Stegostoma tigrinum: one gene and its partner. The protein of the gene in region 2 interacts with the protein of the main gene of each other region in a biochemical or structural test. Links are inferred from orthologs where the notes say so. Each region holds a gene or a part of one and is shown on either strand. Other genes may lie near its edges.

Region 1 (3,752 bases), on a different chromosome or scaffold from region 2:
GTCAACAGAAACCTCATACAATTAAAATTCATTTAAAAAAAAACAAACAATTTTAGATTATATGAAATACACTGGGGAGGCAGTGACCTAGAGGTATTATCGCTAGACTGTTAATCCAGAGACCTAGATTACGTTCTGGGGATCCAGATTCAAATCCTGCCACGGCAGATTGTGGAATTTGAATTCAATAAATGTCTGGAATTACAGAATCCATTGTCAATTGTCATAAAAACCCATTTGGTTCACTAATGCCCTTACGGGAAACAAAGTGCCATTCTTACCTGGTCTGGACTACGTGACTCCAGAACCACAGCAATGTGGCCAACTCTGAACCGCCCGCTGGGCATTGAGGGATGGGCAATAAATACACCCGAGCCTTCAATGCCCTCATCCCATAATTTATGGTATACCTTTGGACTTAGTTCGTTTGTTAAGATAGAATATACCACAAATAACCGCAGTAAGTGTCATATAACTCAAAACATTGACTCCGTTTTCTCTCCACAAATGCTGTCAGACATGCTGTGTTTTGCCAGCAATGTATTTTTGTTTGTTTCAAACCTCAAAGCATTACAGCACTGGTTAAGAAGTAGTCATCTATACCACAATCATGAGTTTTATATTCTCAAACGATAATGTCCCAAGTCCACACGACATGTCTAGACTGCAAGACACAGCATTTACCCAACCATGTCAGCCCTGGCTCTATGAATGAGAATTGCACTGTGCCATCTCCTTGCAACCCTGCTCACTGCTTCAAGAAACAGGAAATGACATCACCAACACAGGAAATGACATCACCAACCCAAGGAAACCTAAACAGATAAATAGAAAGCAGGACGTAACACAGCGTTTCGGAGGCTCACTGATGATGGTACCTAGAATGGTGACGAAACGTCTGAAAACCACCCTTCCAGCTCAGCGAGCAAACCCACATCCAGAACCTCAACCTGAGCTACAAATCTTCTCAAAACTCACTGTTTCAAATAAATAACTCACATTTAAATGCCTCAATTGAACGTGCCTACAACACAGGCAGAGTATTCCATATCCAAAACATTTTCTACTTGGAAAGGTTTTTCTCGTTGCTTTTCAAAAGAAAATGTAAATCTATGCCTTCTCAGTCTTGATCCTATGCCGAACATGATGACAAATAAAACTAATCCCTTCTGCCTGCCCTTGTTGCATATCCCTCCATTCGTCACATGGTCATACACCTACCTAGAAGTCTCCTAAATGGCCTCAACATGTCTGCCTTCAACACCACTCCAGGCAGTGCATTCGAGACTGCTACCACTGTGTAAAAAAAAACTGCCCCTCACATGTCCTTTGAACATTCCCCCGTACCCTTAAATACAGGCCTCTAGCATTAGACATTGTAACTCTGGAAAACACGATTCTGAACATCAACCTTATCCACGAAATCAATTTTACAGACTTCTATCAAGTATCCCCTCAGCCTCTGCTGCTCCAGAGAAAACCACCCGAATTTTTCTACTTTTTCCTTACAGCTCATATCCTCCAATCCAGGTAACATCCCTGTAAACCTCTGCTGCACCCTCTGCAAAGCCATCACATCCTTGCCATAATGTGGCGATCAGAACTGAACACAATGCTCTTAAGCATGTCAATGATTTGGAGGGGTCCAACAGATGTTCTCTCAATCTTCTTTCCTTTACGATAAACAGCCTTAATTTCTTCAATACATTTACACGCAGAAAGTCCTGTTGTTTGAGACCATTCTCATTACTCTTTTCTGCACCCTTGGCAGTACCTTTGCATGCCTTCTAAAGTGCAGAACTAGACAATTCTCCAGCCAGGAAGACAAACATGTGCCCCATGCTGGTTCAACATCTACTTCTTGCTCCTCAACTATATGCCCCTGCAAAAAAAACCTAGGATACCATTATGACTTATTAGCCAAGCTCTCAACTTGTCTGCAACATTTAAGGTCCTCTGCAAGTATACACGCAGGTCTCTCTGCTCCTGAAACACCGTAAGGTGACTGCCCTTCATTTTACAGTGCACTCCATGGCCTTCCAACAAAAACTCTTCGCATTTCTCCTCACTGAACCACTTGTCTACATCCTTTAGAAGTTCTACATCACGTTCCCCAAATTACACTGCTTTAAAATTTCTTTTCGCCTGCAGATTCTGTCATTTGCACCAATGTCTACATCATTAATTAGTAATCTAGAAAAGCAAGAATAGTCCGGAGATTGAGGATCGGGAACTAGCAGTAGGGATTGGGGGGGGGGACGACGACGAACAGCACGAATCGGGGTGATTTCGGGATCGGTTTCGAACCCCCACCCCTCCCCCACGCTCCGCCCTTTGTTCTCCACGGGGCCGAGGCGACGAAGTACAGGCCCGGAGGCCATCGCAGACCTGAACCTAAAGCTCCAAATCCCGCCCACACAGCACTGGCAGAGCCCTACTCTTTACCTGCAGCCAGTAACCTGCTTGCATGGACGAAGGACGGGTCCAGACTGTCCTTCTCCGCCATAAGTTCGGGCAGATATTTCTCATTCGCCATGGCCGTTCACTCCGCTTCCTCGCACACCGACAATGCGCCTGCGCAGCAACTGCCGACTGCCTGATGGTGAGTCCCACCCCTGAGCTCCCATTGGCCACATAGCTGTCCATCGGAGGCATTCTCCATACCTACGCGCTTAGGTAACTGTCAATCATATATTATCCCACCCATATCGATGACACCGTCTCCCGCTCTTATTTCCCGCTAGCTCGATGGCTGGCTGACCTGCCAATCATAGAGCTTCCCCGCCAACTGGTATCAACAGGAATGCCAAACAACCTACTGGAGGCCACCCTGTTCCGCCCCCCTCTCCGACCGTTGTAGGGGGGAGAGTAGGTTCAGAAAACGGGGGGAATAGAAGGAGAGGGTTGGGCGAGGATACAGTGGAGGATACAGACGGACCAGCTGGAGGATAGAGATCTCAGTGGGGGAACCAAGACGCGGGATCATGGAGTAGATAGACCACGTAGGGGCACACGTGAAAGGGCGGCTGGTGTGAAGGACAGAGATCATCCGGGAGGTGGGTGGTGGAGGACAGGTACCATGGGAGTCATGATTGTGGAGGAGGATGACCATGTTGGCGGCGGCGGCCGGGGGAGGGTCTGCTGCGATGGTGAGGGTCGTGGAAGGAAGGGGACCCTGGACAGGTGTCAAGGAGGAGGAGAGGCGTGTGGAAAAGAGGGACCGTACACAGGGGGTGGGAAATGGAGAGGGGAGAGAGCACAGAAAGTTTGGGAGAGGAGAGAGACCATTGGGAGAATGTGGAGAAGACGGGTCGGGGGGGGGGGGGGGGGGCGGCGTGCGCAAGGAGTAGTGAGACTGCCTGGGGTGGGTGTGGAGGAGAGGGTGTGCACCCGAGAGGTGAGCGTGGAGAAGAGGGGAACAGAGGACAGCGAGTGCAGGGATGGGAGGATGTGCAGAAGAGAGAGAGAGAGAGAGATCATGGTGGAAAAATAGATTAGGGTGGAGAGAAATACGGGGGTGAGGAGAGAAGAAGGATGGGCTTTGGGGGATGGGAAGATTGAGAGAGAATGGGGGGGGGGGGGGGGAGAGAAACCAGGATGAGAAAAAGGACAAAACTGAGGAAGTTTGAAGGACAGCGAGATGGAAAGATAGAAAGAGAGGGAGAGGCAGAGAGATGGAGAGAAATTTTAGGAAAATGAGTGAACTGGTGGAAGAGAGTGAGGGAGCGAGAGCCAGGGATAAGATAATTCCA
Region 2 (3,752 bases):
TATGTTGCCACCTCTTACCTCCTTTAAGATACTTAAAATTTGCTTATTTGACCTCGCTTTTGGTCATCTAATATTTGTCTTGGGTAAGTGTTATGTTGTTTGATAATGCTTCTGTGAAGGGCATTGAAACATTCTTCAATGTTGAAGATTCCATAAAAATCAAAGTTTTAAAATAACTATTCCGTCAAATAATAGTCAATGTCTAAGAAAAAAAATACAATGTTTCATCTTCGACTCCAGACCATCCAACACTCGAGGGAGACCGACTCGTTGCTTCGTTTGGAGATGAATGTACGTTTCAATCCACAGCAGTCATAAGATGTCTAAGCCCTTTATACAATCTCAGCTTGTGCTACCGAAAGGGTATCATTTGAAAATTGAGGCGCGACTTTGATTATTTGTACTTCCTGCCCACTTAATTTAGGAAACTATTTTTGTAAATAGATATTTTGAGAAGTCCTAAGGCTATCACATTTTACAATTGCCAACAGGAAGCGATATTAGTATTTCGAATGGCGTTAAACGTGTTAATGTAATTTGGTTCCGTAAATGTCGTGAAATTGTATTACACGTTTAATAATATAGTTATTAACACGTAAATATTACAACTCATTCACAGCTGTAAGCTCCGTGCGCATGTCCATTTGATAGTAACCCCACAATGCATCAGGAGCTCTGATGACGTAATGTACGTTCGGCCGCTTGCTCCCTCATTTCTTACGGAGACGGCCAATCCGCAGGCGGCGGACGGATCACGCGGAGTCATCATCCTCCACCCGAAGCAGGGTTCGGGTATTTCCGACCAGCTACTAAGGTGCTTTCGGCAGTTTTCGTATACTTGGCTCCGCCTCCCTCATCCTTCCTCCCCTCCCCTTCCCCCTCCATCGGTGGACGGAACGTCAGGAGGAAAAAAAACTTTAAGATCAACAGCCGCCATTTTGGTGGAAAATTTCATCCGAAATTTCGGAGGAATTGAACGGCGTCGGGAGCTGTGCTCGCTGTCTTGAGTATTCCTCAAAACCCATATTCGGTTGCGAAATCCACATAGCCGTCAAATTATTGCGAGTCCGGGCGCCTTCAAACGGTGGAAAAGCGATAAGAGAAAGGGGACCGGCTGAAGGGGAGGGGGGAGGTGGTGTTTAAAAATCCGTATCCCCTTCGCTCCGCCGTACCAAGTCTTTGGGTGAAGTATTGTTTTCATCGGCTCAGCCGGCAGCGGTCTGGCGTCAGTCCCCGGCCTGGTCCCGGTCCTGGCCCTGGCGCTATACCGAAAATGCGGCCTGACTGATCGGCTCGATTTTATGTTTTTTCCAACTGCATATTAAAGTGAAGATAGGGGTTGGACAGCTTTTTTGTTCCCTGTGTGAGGGGGGGAGTGGAATGGCGGAACAGGGTGTCGCGTTAGGGGAATGGCGCTGTGGCTGAGGAGGAGCGGGCTCTCGGTGCTAGTCAAAGGCCCCAGGGCCTGCCAGAGTCGCTGCTGTGTCCGTCTTTATCCCGCCCCCTCACCCCCCTCACCTTTCATGTTCATTAGATGAAACTAGCTTGAAAAGGGAGGGGGGAACGATTTATACGCATACACACGTATAAAATATATATATAATAAAATGGCCGAGAACCTACTGGATGGACCGCCGTCAGCCAAACGGCCCAAACTCAACTCGCCGGCGCTCTCTGCCAGTGACAGTACAGGTAAGGAAGGGACATCGCCTCGGACAACCGCGGAGTATAAGTAGTTGCATAGCTGCCCAACACTCCTCTTTGTGGATGGTAAATAGGAATGGAGTGCGTATGTTTTGAAATTGAGGATTTTGGCAGAAACTTAAAACCGTGTTTCTTTTGGTGGGGAAGGTTATTGATAGGTTTTGTTCCTTCCTTCACTCCAGCTCCCGATCCCGCAAAAGTAAAACTAGCAGTGTTTACGATCGTTTATTTGGGAAGGTTTGAGCCAGAATGGCTCAGTAAGGTGTTGAAGATCATTAGATGTTCTGAGATATTGTATATTTAGAGACAAGTAAGAAGGAATTATATTTGAGAGGATATTGATTGGTGTAAATCTTCAGCATTGGTTACGAAACTCATTTCGCACTTTTTATGTTCGATCGTTGATAGATTTGCACCATAATTTTCGCGTGAGCAAATACCAATAAAATTAGACCTTGGTTTCGGTGTGATGAAATAAAGTTTGTCTCGCACATTTGTTTAAAGTGTTATAACATTTGAGAAATTAGACTAGTGGTGAATTTCGCTGGTAGAAAGCATTTCGTTTAAACTAATGGAATACGTAATAAAGTAGAATAATATTTATCAAACGTCTGCTGATTAAATATTTTTTAGTCTTTCAACTGACTTGTGACAGGTGAAATCGTAATTTGTTAACTTCACGTAAAAATGTATAACATGTAAGATTGCAGCATTTGTTGGAAAATATGCATCTGATACTGTGTGTAAACCGTGCATGTGTCGCAAGTAGCAGACGTCCGTATTTTGGGCATTATTTTGTAAATAGAAACTTGTAGCGGTGAATTGCGTTAAGGCCACTATAGTTGGCGGAAGCCCAGGGATTTATAACACCTCCCTGTTACTGTCCCGTGGATCCTGGTGAGCCAAGTGATCAATGTTATTGTCAAAATCTTAATAATATTTGCAGCTTACCGTCAGGTATGCCAACATTTAACGGGAGAGATGCAACTAAAATGCAGTTGCCTGTGCAATTTACGTATTTTTCGTTTTGCGATAATTTAATGAGTATCCCAACTGACACTAGACTATATTGGAAGGCAATAATAATTATCGACAGTTGAGTTTATGGGTGAGATTTTTAAACTAGTATATTATACTATTAATTCTGCAGTAGTGGTGTTTGATGTTTGCAGTGAACAAATAAAAATAAAATGAAGTGTTTACTTTGGTAGACTATTTACCCCATTGGGCCATTAAAATATGTGAACAAATGAATATTTTAAGCTCTACTTTCATCTTTTGGCAATTAATTGTTGTCGGATGCTACACCTGTGCACATGTACAATCACTGGGTGGTGGATACTTTGGCGCATTCTGTCCTTGAAGCTTGAACTGCAGCATATGATGTTTTAAATTATGCAGCATCACATTGAAGAAACATAGGTCATTTGTATGTTCACAGACAGTTGTGCAAGTTGTAGAGTATCATCACTAAGGTTTGTGAGACCAAGATTTAAGTAATCATATTATTTCCTGACCTTTTTACCTTTGGAACTACCCCCACTGCTGTTGTATAAAGTCTCTTTTCACAATGTGCAGGCCTGTGTTTTGGCTTCTAAGACTGTTACAAGTCATTGTAAATGTTTTTATTGGAAACATGTTTGAAACACATTACACACTTCAGAAATGCTTACCATTATAACAAATAAGGATACTTGTATATGTATGAGGGTTTAATAAGTTGCACTGGTGATTTGCTAAACAGATTATTCTTCTTAAAATAGCATCAGGCACTGGTCAAATTTAGTATATTCCCTACAAAAGGTTTTGGCTTGTTAATCAGTATTTACTATGATGCCAATATTTAAAATGCAATTGTTGGCATAAATGATCTCAAACTTCTGCAATTGTATGAGAAACAATCAATTTTTTTTATTAAAAGTGGCTATTTTCCGAACTCCTTTTAAAATTAGAAACTAATAGACGTAGCTAATTGCCACACAAATCTTGATATATTTGGAAGTTTGTTAATAAAGATTAAGTTGTTAGAGTTGGTTAACTGTTAAAAA

The links. The genes of interacting proteins can lie anywhere in the genome.
Region 1: the proteins of crebbpb (region 2) and KH domain-containing, RNA-binding, signal transduction-associated protein 1-like form a complex in vitro, tested with the Homo sapiens proteins (2 studies listed by BioGRID, with this or other methods). The link is inferred for Stegostoma tigrinum from reciprocal best matches to the Homo sapiens genes CREBBP and KHDRBS1.

What each region holds. Positions count from the first base shown.
Region 1 is NC_081377.1:841,978-845,729, reverse strand, and holds the start of KH domain-containing, RNA-binding, signal transduction-associated protein 1-like, read right to left. Parts: upstream 2,581-3,752; 5' UTR 2,537-2,580; coding exon 2,446-2,536; intron 1-2,445. UniProt on the Homo sapiens protein: Recruited and tyrosine phosphorylated by several receptor systems, for example the T-cell, leptin and insulin receptors. Once phosphorylated, functions as an adapter protein in signal transduction cascades by binding to SH2 and SH3 domain-containing proteins.
Region 2 is NC_081376.1:32,962,749-32,966,500, reverse strand, and holds the start of crebbpb (CREB binding protein b), read left to right. Parts: upstream 1-860; 5' UTR 861-1,607; coding exon 1,608-1,692; intron 1,693-3,752. UniProt on the Homo sapiens protein: Acetylates histones, giving a specific tag for transcriptional activation. Mediates acetylation of histone H3 at 'Lys-18' and 'Lys-27' (H3K18ac and H3K27ac, respectively).